3 linked regions of the Stegostoma tigrinum genome follow. The protein of the gene in region 1 purifies or fractionates together with the protein of each later gene. This does not show direct contact. Links are inferred from orthologs where the notes say so. Each region holds a gene or a part of one and is shown in the gene's direction. Other genes may lie near its edges.

The links.
Region 2: the proteins of ccna2 (region 1) and cdk4 purify together in Homo sapiens (affinity purification with western blotting; 3 studies listed by BioGRID, with this or other methods). This does not show direct contact. The link is inferred for Stegostoma tigrinum from reciprocal best matches to the Homo sapiens genes CCNA2 and CDK4.
Region 3: the proteins of ccna2 (region 1) and rbl2 purify together in Homo sapiens (affinity purification with mass spectrometry; 3 studies listed by BioGRID and IntAct, counting the BioPlex papers as one, with this or other methods). This does not show direct contact. The link is inferred for Stegostoma tigrinum from reciprocal best matches to the Homo sapiens genes CCNA2 and RBL2.

What each region holds. Positions count from the first base shown.
Region 1 is NC_081354.1:36,741,024-36,744,775, forward strand, and holds the start of ccna2 (cyclin-A2), read left to right. Parts: upstream 1-993; 5' UTR 994-1,138; intron 1,139-1,292; 5' UTR 1,293-1,299; coding exon 1,300-1,503; intron 1,504-3,752. UniProt on the Homo sapiens protein: Cyclin which controls both the G1/S and the G2/M transition phases of the cell cycle. Functions through the formation of specific serine/threonine protein kinase holoenzyme complexes with the cyclin-dependent protein kinases CDK1 or CDK2.
Region 2 is NC_081404.1:17,944,816-17,948,567, reverse strand, and holds the start of cdk4 (cyclin-dependent kinase 4), read left to right. Parts: upstream 1-916; 5' UTR 917-1,205; intron 1,206-3,752.
Region 3 is NC_081369.1:24,613,171-24,616,922, reverse strand, and holds the start of rbl2 (retinoblastoma-like protein 2), read left to right. Parts: upstream 1-796; 5' UTR 797-956; coding exon 957-1,097; intron 1,098-3,752. UniProt on the Homo sapiens protein: Key regulator of entry into cell division. Directly involved in heterochromatin formation by maintaining overall chromatin structure and, in particular, that of constitutive heterochromatin by stabilizing histone methylation.

The sequences.
Region 1 (3,752 bases):
CCATCTGAATTTTCTGCAACTACTTACAATAATATGTTTTAATGTTTTATGCCTGGTGATTGTTGAGTAGTCTCAACCCTGGCTGTAAACACTTAACATGATCTGTGGTAGTGCAAAAATGCTACTCCTCAGGATAATAAAAAAGTTTTAAAATTAGAAATCATCTTTTTTGGAACAGATAAGGTGACTTTTGTTCCAGCAGGTTGGAACCTTGCCTCAGAAGGCAGTGGAAATGGGGGTCATTGAATATTTTTAATAGAGATAGATTTTTGTTAAGTAGAGAAAATCAAAGGTTACTGGGGACAGATGAAAGTGTAGATTTGAAGCACAAACAGATCAACCATGGTATTATTAAATGGCAGAGCTCCAATTTCTTTACAGGCTCAAAAGTGAAGAATGATATGCACTAAACTGCACAAAAAGCCATTTTTCTAACTCTACTACACTGTGAATCAACATTTTGAAGACAATAGAAAAATAAATGGATGGGGGTGCAAGTGACAGTGCAACACATGTAAATGTAAACTGTATCAGAGATAATGGGAACTGCAGATGTTGGAGAATCCGAGATAACAAAGTGTGTAGCTGGATGAACACAGTAGGCCATGCAGCATCTTTGGAGCACAAAGGCTAACAAAATGTAAACTGTTTCCGTTTTGCTAATGGTATGTTTGCACTAATGTTAACATGTTGCATTTTTTTCTACTTCCCTGAAGGCACTCACTCGCTGTTTGCACCCCAAGCAATTCTTTCCCATCTTGCAGCTTCCGCCCATTTTCTTCTTCCTTTGATTGACAACCGCGACCGCGCGAATAATAAGAGGCAGGGGAAAAAAATTCAAATCTGAAACGGAACCGACGTGCGTCCGCACATCAAGCACCCATTGGCTGGTTTCAATAGACGCGGGACACTTGAACTGAATGGGGTTTTATCAGTTGCCGGTGGTGACGTCTGAGCTGATCAGGGGGAGGAGGAACCTGAAAAGAGCAATTGAACAAACTGTCCCAGGCCGCACGGGGGTTGGGGGGAGGGGAGGACAATTGTCTATCAATCCACGCAGTCTGGCGTTAGGTGGAGGACCGATTATAGAGCGGGACCCGGCCGGTGGCGCTCGAGCTGGGGTCGCTCCCTTTCACAGGTAACGGGGAGCCTGGACACAGCTCCGAGCCGCCAGCCCGGTCTCATTCCGATTTTAACTCGACGGTGTATTTTGCCCGTGTTTTTTGTTTCAAAGGAAACGTGTACAGTTTTTTTAAAGTAAGATTTTTAATTTTTTTTTAAAAATCCCGGAGTTCGAGAATGTATCGGGCTTCTCGCGACGCTGTCTCCAGGGACTGGGAAAACGTGCTACCCCAGGCGGTGAAAGCCGTCAGCTGGCAGGGTCAGGAACCGGGAGGCCGGGAGCGAAATGCGGGCAGAGTCGCCGTTCCTACCCCTGTCGGTGGCAGGAAGGTGCTCGGAGTGTTGCAGAGTAATCAAGCTTTACAGCCCCATCGCAAACCCGTAAGTAAAGAGGCAGGTTCTGTCACTGGATGATCGGTGCAGGTACAATCTGTCGGCGGTGGTCTCCAGTACGGACTCTGAGTACGCGAATGCCACGACTGGTTAATATATATCATCCGACGGTTTCTCGGCGATGAGGATTAGCGTTAAATTCAAATTGCTCCAACACCATTCAGTTTCCGTTTTGCAACGGCTCACAAATATCTGGATTGTCCTCCACGTTGCAATTTAAAGCTTTTACGCTGGTTGACGTTCGAAAAATAGTGGTACTCGCATATTGATAGCAATAGTTACTTGTGTGATGCAGCACTTTATTGAACGCTTACACGTAAGCATTAAAAGTGCTCCACACTCTTTAACTCTATATCAGCCCGCAAGCCAAAACGACCTTGTTGCTAGGGTGTCCTAATAGTTTCTCATAATTGGATTGCGGAAGAACTTCACATTTTACGCGTGTAGGTTTAAATTGAAATCATTGAGTTCTTCTCTTCTCCGCCGGCCTAGCAAATATTGAGGAAATCATCTACTGGATTTTAGCCTGGTTTCCCCCGATTCCGGGACTCCGGAAAGAGTGAATTTGTGAATCGCAACTATACTCTAAATCGTCAGTGATGCCACTGCAATGAGCATGCTAACGATAAAATAGGCAGTTTATTGGAAAATCGAGAACTGTATGATTCCATACGGCTTGAGTAGTATTTTAAATAGATAGGTTACTTTTTAATTAACGTCACTATAACAACTTTTTTCAAATGGGACATACTTCATGAATTTATGGTGCTTGTTCAAAGTTCAGGATCATAAACAGCTTCTTCCCGGCAGTTAGTAGACTGAAATGGACACACTCTAGCCTCAAATAATGCTCATCTTGCTAACGTTGATTTCGCCTAGCGCGTGCCCTTTGTAATGTAACCTGCATCTTTGTACAACCTCTGATCTGTACATCCTTACTTTACTGTGATTTTCTTGTACCGATTGCAAACAAAGCTTTTCACTGCACTTCAGTACTCGTGACAATAATTCAGTCAAAAGGAATAGTTGACTGATCTTGGTTACCAATAAACAGACTTTCTGTAGAGTTATATAAGCCTTTGACCTGACTGGAATCCTTGGGAGTTGAACACTTTATGTCTACCAAGGTGTTGTATGCCAATAGGGAAATAATCAAATAACTGAGCTGAGATACTCTTGTTTTCTCCACATCTGCACCTGAGTTAAATTTGCATGTTTCTGCAGTCTTGGATCATTAGTCGTAGGTGATTCTGTGCTTCACCCAGAAGCTGAACATCTGCCACAATTTTTGTGGATAGAATCATTTGGCACTTCCACCCAAATAAACCTAGAGGTGTTGGAAGTATTTTGGTGAAGTGAATATCACAATTGAACTGAATCTGCCCTCGTTTGGTTTTCAGTCTCTTCCTTTTTGTTTTTCAAGTAGAAAATTACATTTCCCCCTCCTGCTTCTGAGTCCGTTCTTCAATTCTAGAGCTACTGAATTTTTCTTTTTAAAAACATACTACTTAAAAGACACAATTCCATCTTAAAAAGTAAGAATGTGCTACTGCATTTGGAACAGAGTCTTTTTCATGACAAAGTTGAGTTCAAGAAAAGATCTGGTTTGTGATTGCTTCTCTTAAAATAATGTAATGTTATTTCTTATTTTTAAAAATCAAGCTTTGAAAAAGAGACATGCTATTGAAGTGTCTTTGCCCTACACAAGGAACATCAAATTTCAGAGGGAGCAATAATGTATGCTGTAATTATTAAAAAGAAAATATGCTGATTGGTTGGCACATCATCTCAGGTCAAGTCATTATCATGGAAAATAATGGGATAACTTGTTCTTCATTATCATGCCATCTAGACATGCTGCCATTTTCTGAAACTGTCTGCTCTGATCATGACCTGAGCAACTGTGTAGCCTTGGAAATTAACAACTGCTATACCCATAGGTAGACTTGCAATGGATACCCTATGTGCCCATCTCTCATTGAAATCTTTTGGTTTTCATATGAAAGCATATTCCATCCATCCACCCACCCCCCCCTCACACCCCCCCAAAAAAATCCTTTGCGTACTTCGAACACTGAACAGTACAGGCCCTTCGGCCCATGATGTTGTGCTGAACTTTACCCTAATCCTAAGGTCTTTCTAATCTCCACCCCTACCTTTACACTAGCATTCATATGCCTATTTATGAGCCACTTAAATGCCGCTAATGTGGCCGACTCCACTACCCTCTCCAGCAA
Region 2 (3,752 bases), on another chromosome or scaffold:
ACCATTTATGACACAATGGCCACTAAGTTAGAGGATCATACTTGAAAATCAGGATTTTTATTGCTGTATTGTTCTTATTTAATTACACTGCTTGCATTGAGTCAAAGATTGTGACTTCAATTGTATAATCCAGGTTGAAGGGGCTCTCGTGGTGGTGTCTCTATCTCTGGGCCAAAGGGTCTAGGTTTAAGGCCCTTTTTTCTGAAGAAGGATCTAGGCCCGAAACGTCAGCCTTCCTGCTCCTCTGATGCTGCTTGGCCTGCTGCGTTCATCCAGCTCCACACACTTTGTTATCTCAGATTCTCCAGCATCTGCAGTTCCTATTATCTCTGAAACAGGTTTAAGGCCCAAGTGCCCAAGAGATGTGTCATAACATGTCTGGAATGGTTGATTTAAAATTCAAGTTGGTGGCACGCATGAAGTGCTGTACCATCAAACCCTAAACTTATCACACTATCAAAGGTACGGTTTGTTAGATGACACATTAAATCAAAGCCCCATTTGCCCTCACAGGTGGATCCCATTGAACTATCTGAAACGGTTTATTTTATTTATTATTATCTCTATTTACCCTTTATGTAAAATTACTTATTACTTCATTGCCTTTTTGTGACTGAAAGACTGAAATGCACGCAAATTAGCATTTAGGTATATTTTAGATTCCAGAACAAATAGTGCAGGTCATTGTACACCACATGAGTTTTTTTGTCTTTGAAGGTTTTCCCCCCGAGTAGGGTTTAAATAAAAATGGTTGTGCCTTCAAACAAACTCTCCAGAAACTGAGAATGACAACAGTTATAACTAGTTTCCACCTATCAGCTCAGAAAGATGTAAAAACAGCGGCAACTGGCCAGCCAGTCAGCAAAAAAGAGGCCTGCCAGGAATTGGATTCGACCAATAAGTAAAAGCAGAAAGGAGTGGATTTTTTTTTGTCGTCAATCATGGCAGGCGGAAGGACAATGTTCTGGGAATGACCTCATGTGACTGTAACAAACTTTTTAAAGCTAATTTCACTAAGTGTTTTTAAAGCTTTAGTTAATTCTTTTTACAAAAACATCACATTTTAGCTATTTATTGATTGTAGGCATTTATAAAATCAGTTTGTAGCACCAGGCGGCTCTAGGGGAAAACAAAATATGATTTTTAATTGAATGATTATTCCATCGGAAATCTCGGAATACCCCGCTGGAAGTTTGCTGCACGTTGTAAGTATCTGGATGGAGTTTTTGTGATGTGATTGCAAAGTGAGACGATGTGAAAAGGCGAACGGGTCCAGTTTGTGATCGCGAGGGAGTGATTTCTAAATGGCTTCCCTGGCAAGCCCGCGCCTGCAGAAGCGAGAGGAAATTTGTTCTTGTTTGTTGTTTTTTTTAAAAAAATAAACTAAAATGGGGAATTACGTGGTTTCCACAATGTAATTGCTGTCGCGTATCTGTTTGTATTTTTTTGGGGGGGGGTCATCTCCCTCTTACAGCAGCTAAAAGGACGACAAAAGAATTGCTTAATACCGCCACGTGCGAACGGTCTAACGTCTGTTTATCTAACTTGCTGCCAAATAAACCGAGGGTTTAATTAAACGTTGATTTTTTTTTAAAAAAAAATCTGCCTAATATCTCTCGTCTCGATTTACTCTGACCCAAACCAGTGAGGTGTCCGTCTTTTTCTCTTCCCCTCTCTTCCCCCCCCCCCCATTATACCATTCACTCTTTTCAGAGTTTGAGACACAAAGTGGTATCGTTATCTTTTGAAATGTGGAATCTTTCGATCAGCAATAGACTTGAGAATTAATTTAAGACTTCTGTAAGGGAGCCGTGCCTGAAAGCAGCTTGGTGTTTTTGCTGGCGAGGATTGTCTTGGGCTCTAAGATGGCAGCAATACATGTGCTCCAGGTTGGATTTTTTAAAAAAAACTGTAATCGCTCTTCGGATCTGCAACAAAAACTGCAGCTTTTTTTTGATGGTTGTGGTTATTAAGATTTTAAACCAAATCTTTTCATTTTCCCCCCTCTATAAACAAAGTGGCCAACGTTTGCTCACTTACGTTTCTGTAGCACTACTGCAAAATGAGCCTGAAGGCTGCACCGAATCAGGGAGCGGGGGTCAGATTTCAGCCAGCCAAGCTCTTGAGCAAATGCGAAGGGGCAAGAACCATCACTAAAAGTGGGGAGCACAGCCTTGAGGTATAGACGTGTAATAAATGCTCGCCAGACAGTGACACCCATGTCCCACCAGGTTTTTTTTGTAGTGGCAGTTTTACTTGACTGCTGCGACATGTGCTTTCCGACCTTCCTTCCAGGTCAGGTAACTCCCTATGTGTGCCCTTCTCTGAATATAGTACAGTATAATTTCAGATTCTCAAGTGGTCATGGCATCGGGTCAGAGGATTGGGAAAAGATAGACTAAAGATGGGAAGCCCAGGTTTGTTTTGGATGTGGGAGGCGGTTTGCTCAGGAGGAGTGATTTTGAGAATGGAGGGCATGCCATGATCTAGTGGCCCAAAAGGAGGTCAAGCTATTTATTGAAATGGTCCAGCAGCTGTTCTGCTCTTGAAGTCTCTGTATGTGTTTGGGGAGTTGGAGGGTGCAGCTTTTCCCAGAAGCTGATGGTGATTTGTGAAGTTGAGGGCAAATGTGGGGAGATACAGGTGATGAGTTTGTGATTGAGAGCCTTGTTGACCACATTCTGAAAGCCATGCTGTGACAATACTGGTTGTTGTAATGGGATGTGAACATAGGGGTGATGGGATGGATAAGTGCCTTCAGGTGGCTCTTAAAATTGCTACCATTGCTATCTCAAGTGAAGGATCTGAAAGTGTGAAGAGACTTTTTTTGTTGGTGGAAGGAGAGCGAGGAGTTGACAATGTGTTCGTAGGAATCTTTAAAAATTTTTCCTGTCATGGTGGGATGGAGATGACAGTAGGCAATAGCTGTGAAATTGATATAGTAGCGTTTACCTTCTGCTAAGGAAGGCCTTTTTCAGATGCTGGAGCATTTGTTTACTTATCTACAGATCTTCAGAAATTTGTCAACTTTCCCAAGTGTGTCTCTAAAGACAGAATTGCCACTGAAGACTGCTTGATCCCACCCACCATTTCCTGGCTGAACATGGGCCCTGACATTCTTCTTGTTATTGCATGTCTGTGTGGGGTTCTCTGTGGACAATATGCTTGTGCTGATGCTTGCTTCTGTTTGTGCAATATGAGTAGATGGCCTAGGTTGGAAAACTGGTTGACTTGGTATTCGTGAAGTAAGTTTATAAGTGGAATAGGTTGTCCAGTCTGGTTTAGGATGCAGGTGATGGTAGTGCTTTCACAGTGTATTTCGCAGCATTTGAGGTGTTGCTGTTTTCCTTTTGAGATTATGTTCTCTGAATTGTTAACTTTCCACGCTAATCATCTGCAACTTGTAAATTCAAAATTTAGGTTTTCTTCTTGCCCCTGTTTATCTCACTTTTTTACCAGTGCCCTAACGGAAAGATGAGTACCAATCAGATGAGGTTTTTGCTATAGTTTAAAAAACATGGTGTGGGTTTTGGCGATCTGAAACAAGCAAAATTGCTGGAGAAATTCAGCTCTGATGTTAATTTGGGTTTTCTTTTCACAGATGCTGCCAGATCTACGGAGTTCCTCCACTTTGTTTTACTTTGAGCTAAATGTTTGGCTTTGTTTAGTTCAAACCAAGGGTTTTGCTTGTTTTGCGTGAGAGCAGTTCTTTTTGTCATTTGTATTTCAGATGCTGCTTAGACTACACAAGC
Region 3 (3,752 bases), on another chromosome or scaffold:
AAGAGAAGGGAACACAAATGATGAGGATGACACAAACAGTCTGCAAGAGGATATAAACCGGTTAACCAAGCGGGCAAAAGAATTGGTAAATACAATATAATGTGGGAAATTTTGAGAGGTTTTACATTGACAGGAAGAATAGAAATGCAAATGTTATTTAATGGGAAAAGATTGCAGAAAGTTGCAGCACAGAGGGATTCAGGAGTGTTGATGTATGTATCACAGAAAGTTAGCATCCAAGTTCAATGAGTATAGGGAAGGCAAATGGAATTCAAGCCTTTATTCCAAAGGGAATGGAGTGTAAAATGGTTGCTACAATTTTTACAAGGCACCTGTCAATCTAAACCTGAAATACTGTGAACAGGTTTGGTTCTCTTGTCTAACAAAAGATATCTGGCATTGGTGACAGTCCAGGGAAGGTTTATTAGTTTAATATTGGGTATGAAGGAAGTTTCTTAGGAGGGGTTGAGCAGAATGGGTGTTTATTGATTCCCTCCAAATCTTTCTATTAAATCTCCTCTGCATGCTCTCTGCGATGTGGAGGTCATGTTCCCCTCCCTTGCGATTTCTTTCCCAGTACTAGGCTGGCAGCTGGTACCCTGTAAGAGCAGCCCCCCCCCGCCAAAGCCTGCACTGTGCTTTGCCAGGTACTGGGCAAGGAGTAGGCAGGGCCTAACCCAGGAAGCGCTGTGATTGACGTGGCCGCGCGGCCACTTAACGATCAGGAGGCAACAATCGAACGTTCCGACGGGCAGCTGGGCAGACCAATCAGACGGTGGCAAGGGCGGGACGTTGGGCTGTCAATCAAGCGGCTTTTAAATGGCTACAGTGCGGCCCGCGAGCGCTGCCTGAGCCCTCCCGGGGACAGCGACAGCGGTATTTCTGCAACTGCTACTCCTGCAGCAGCACTTCCACTAACCCACAACCCGACCGGCCATTCCTGCTCACCAGCCACCATGGCCAGCGAGGACGAGCAGGGCGGCTGCCGGACCTGGCAGAGGTTTGAGGAACTTTGTCAGAAATTGAACATGGACGAGGGTGCAAAATGTGAGGCTTGGGCAAGTTTCGAGAGCATCAGCAGGACATACACCCTGGAGGTGAGTATGACAGGGTGTGGGGCAGAGGGTGAGAGAGAGAGACACAGTGGAAGCTGCCTGACTATAAGGGGGCGTGTACCCGAGGTGACATCCGCGAGTAAATAAGTACCCACTGACAGCTGAGGGGGAGGGGAAGGGTCAGAGGTAATTCATTGCGTGTACATTAGTTTGAAACATTGGAATTCAGCGTACAAGGAATACATACATCAGGCTATTGCAATCAATTCGTTTGAAAGTTAATGTTTTGCCTGTTTTGTTTTTAATTTTCACGACGGGCTGAGCGGGTTTGTTGCTGATGCTAAACCTTGCAGAACAGGGGCAGGCCTGCCCTTCGGCGCTGCCATTTAAAGTAGTTTAAGGTCCTCGCTCCAGTTCGAGAAACCTGCACATTCTCGTTCAGCAGTGCCTTGCCCGGCCCACCTTGCCAAAAGCAAAGTTTCAAACCGTCCACGTAAACAACTGAGCCTTCAGTTGCAAGAGGAAGCACCGGAAGAGCGTCTCGCCAATGTATGCTGTGAATTTGACATATGCGGAGATAAGAAAGGCCAATCAGGCAACCAAAACATTCAACAGTTTCTCCATCAATGCCACTGTTTACGCACCAAGTACCCCAATTAGGAGTGCCCTGAGTGTTAACCGCGAACAAATTATTTTGCGATACCTAGCATCCTGTCAGATTAACTATGACCCCGTGTCTTACTCTTACTGTAGTTTGAAATAAATAACTTTTTTAAAAATCGTGCCCTCCATGTTTTTGGGATATTCAAATCACTTAACAGCCAATCAGTTTCTGTTGAAATGTGTTCACTTGTTTGTTGCGACGTCAGGTTTCACAAACAGTAATTACATTTTTGTTTTTGCAGCCTAGGTAGAAATTCAGACAGGACCTCTGCCTCACCCAATGGTCAAATGATGTACAAATCCAAATCAGTCTTGTCCGAATCTATCACTCTGTCATATGCTGAAACCATGGTATTGGAAGGTCAATCAGCAGCCTTCCGATTATGATTCTGATTGTCAGTGATTGCATTCTTGCCTTTGACAATGTTTTCGATTTATCTCTTAGATTGTCTGTTGTAATTATTCATACAACATTGACATTAAAGACTCTGTGTTTCTCTCAACATATTTTTGTAACCTTTATGTGCTTTAAATGTTGAAAAGTTATGTTTTGTTGCAAAGATCAGTTGGATGCAAGAATGGAGAGGTTGTACTTCAGTTATACAGGGCATTGGTGAGACCACATTTGGAGTACTGTGTACAGTACTGGTCACCGTGCTTGTAGACGGATTTCAACGTGTTGGAAGCAGTTCAGAGAAGGTTTGACTTGACCCACACCTGGAATGAATGAATTGTCTTTTGAGGAAGGCTGAGACAAGCTAAACTTGCATCCTCTGGAGTTTAGAAAGGTCAGAGGTGACTTAATTGAAACATATAAGATCCTGAGGGGACTTGACCAGGTGGATGTGGAAAGGATGTTTCCTCTTGTGGGAGAATCTAGAATTAGTGATCATAGTTTAAGAATAAAATGTTGACCATTTAAGACAGATGTGAAAAACATTTTTCTCTGAGGTCTGAGAGACTTTGGAATTCTCTTCCTCAAAAGTCAGTTGATGCAGAACCTTGAAATATTTTTAAGGTAGGTAGATTCTTAATTTCCAAGGGGTTGGAAGATTATTGGGGGTTTGCAGAAAAACAGTTGAAGTCAAAATGAGGTCAGCCATGATCTTATTGAATGGTGGAGTAGGCTTAAAGGGCTGGATGGCCTAGGGAACTACGAGTTCCTTGATTTGTATGTTTGTATACTAGAGATCCTTGTAATCAACATCTCCAGAGTCTAACACCAAACTTGCTGATTTATGAGGCCCTCGTTAAAGTAGATGGAAAACACAGCTACGTAAGATTTTTTTAAAATTAGGGATTCCCAACAATTGGTGCCTCCGTTCCTGTCAAAGATCCCTCATTATTGTTATTTCCCAGCATCGTGCTCAACACTCCGACAATTCACTTCCTCTCTTTTCTGCCTGATTTCTGATGTGTCAACAATGCCAACCTTTCTAATTAAGGTATGCAAACATAAATGTTGCACACCATGATGTATCCATTGTGTTTGACACAATCGGCCCAATTCATCACCTCTCTCACACGTATTTCTTTGTAGCCTATGTTCACAAGACCACCTGTTCAGTGTCAGCCACAGCACTGGATTTTCTACCACCTCAACCGTTATCTCTGCAGAACATTTTTTGGCTATATTCTTGCCTACCTTTTCCCGTATTGACAAGTTGCTCCTTAGTGATTGACACTGACACTATTCATGGATTCATCTGACAGCCATTTCTCCTCTGTCAGCCTGTCTATCTGAAATTAACACATGCTTGAGCTTGAACACATGTTTTCTGACAGCAATCAGCAAAAGATTGAAAATATTTTATTTTGCTCCCATTAAAATATTTTTCACTTCCCTTATTCCCATAACTTGAAATCTAGGCCCTTGCTATATTTACAAATGTCTGAAATATTCCAACATAATTTACAAATTCCTGCCTACCAGCTGCAGAAAGAGACGTTGGAGTACAGCTTGATAGTTCCTTGAAAACAGAGTTGCAGGTAGACAGAAGCAGGAGTTTGGTATGCTTGCCTTTATTGCTCAGC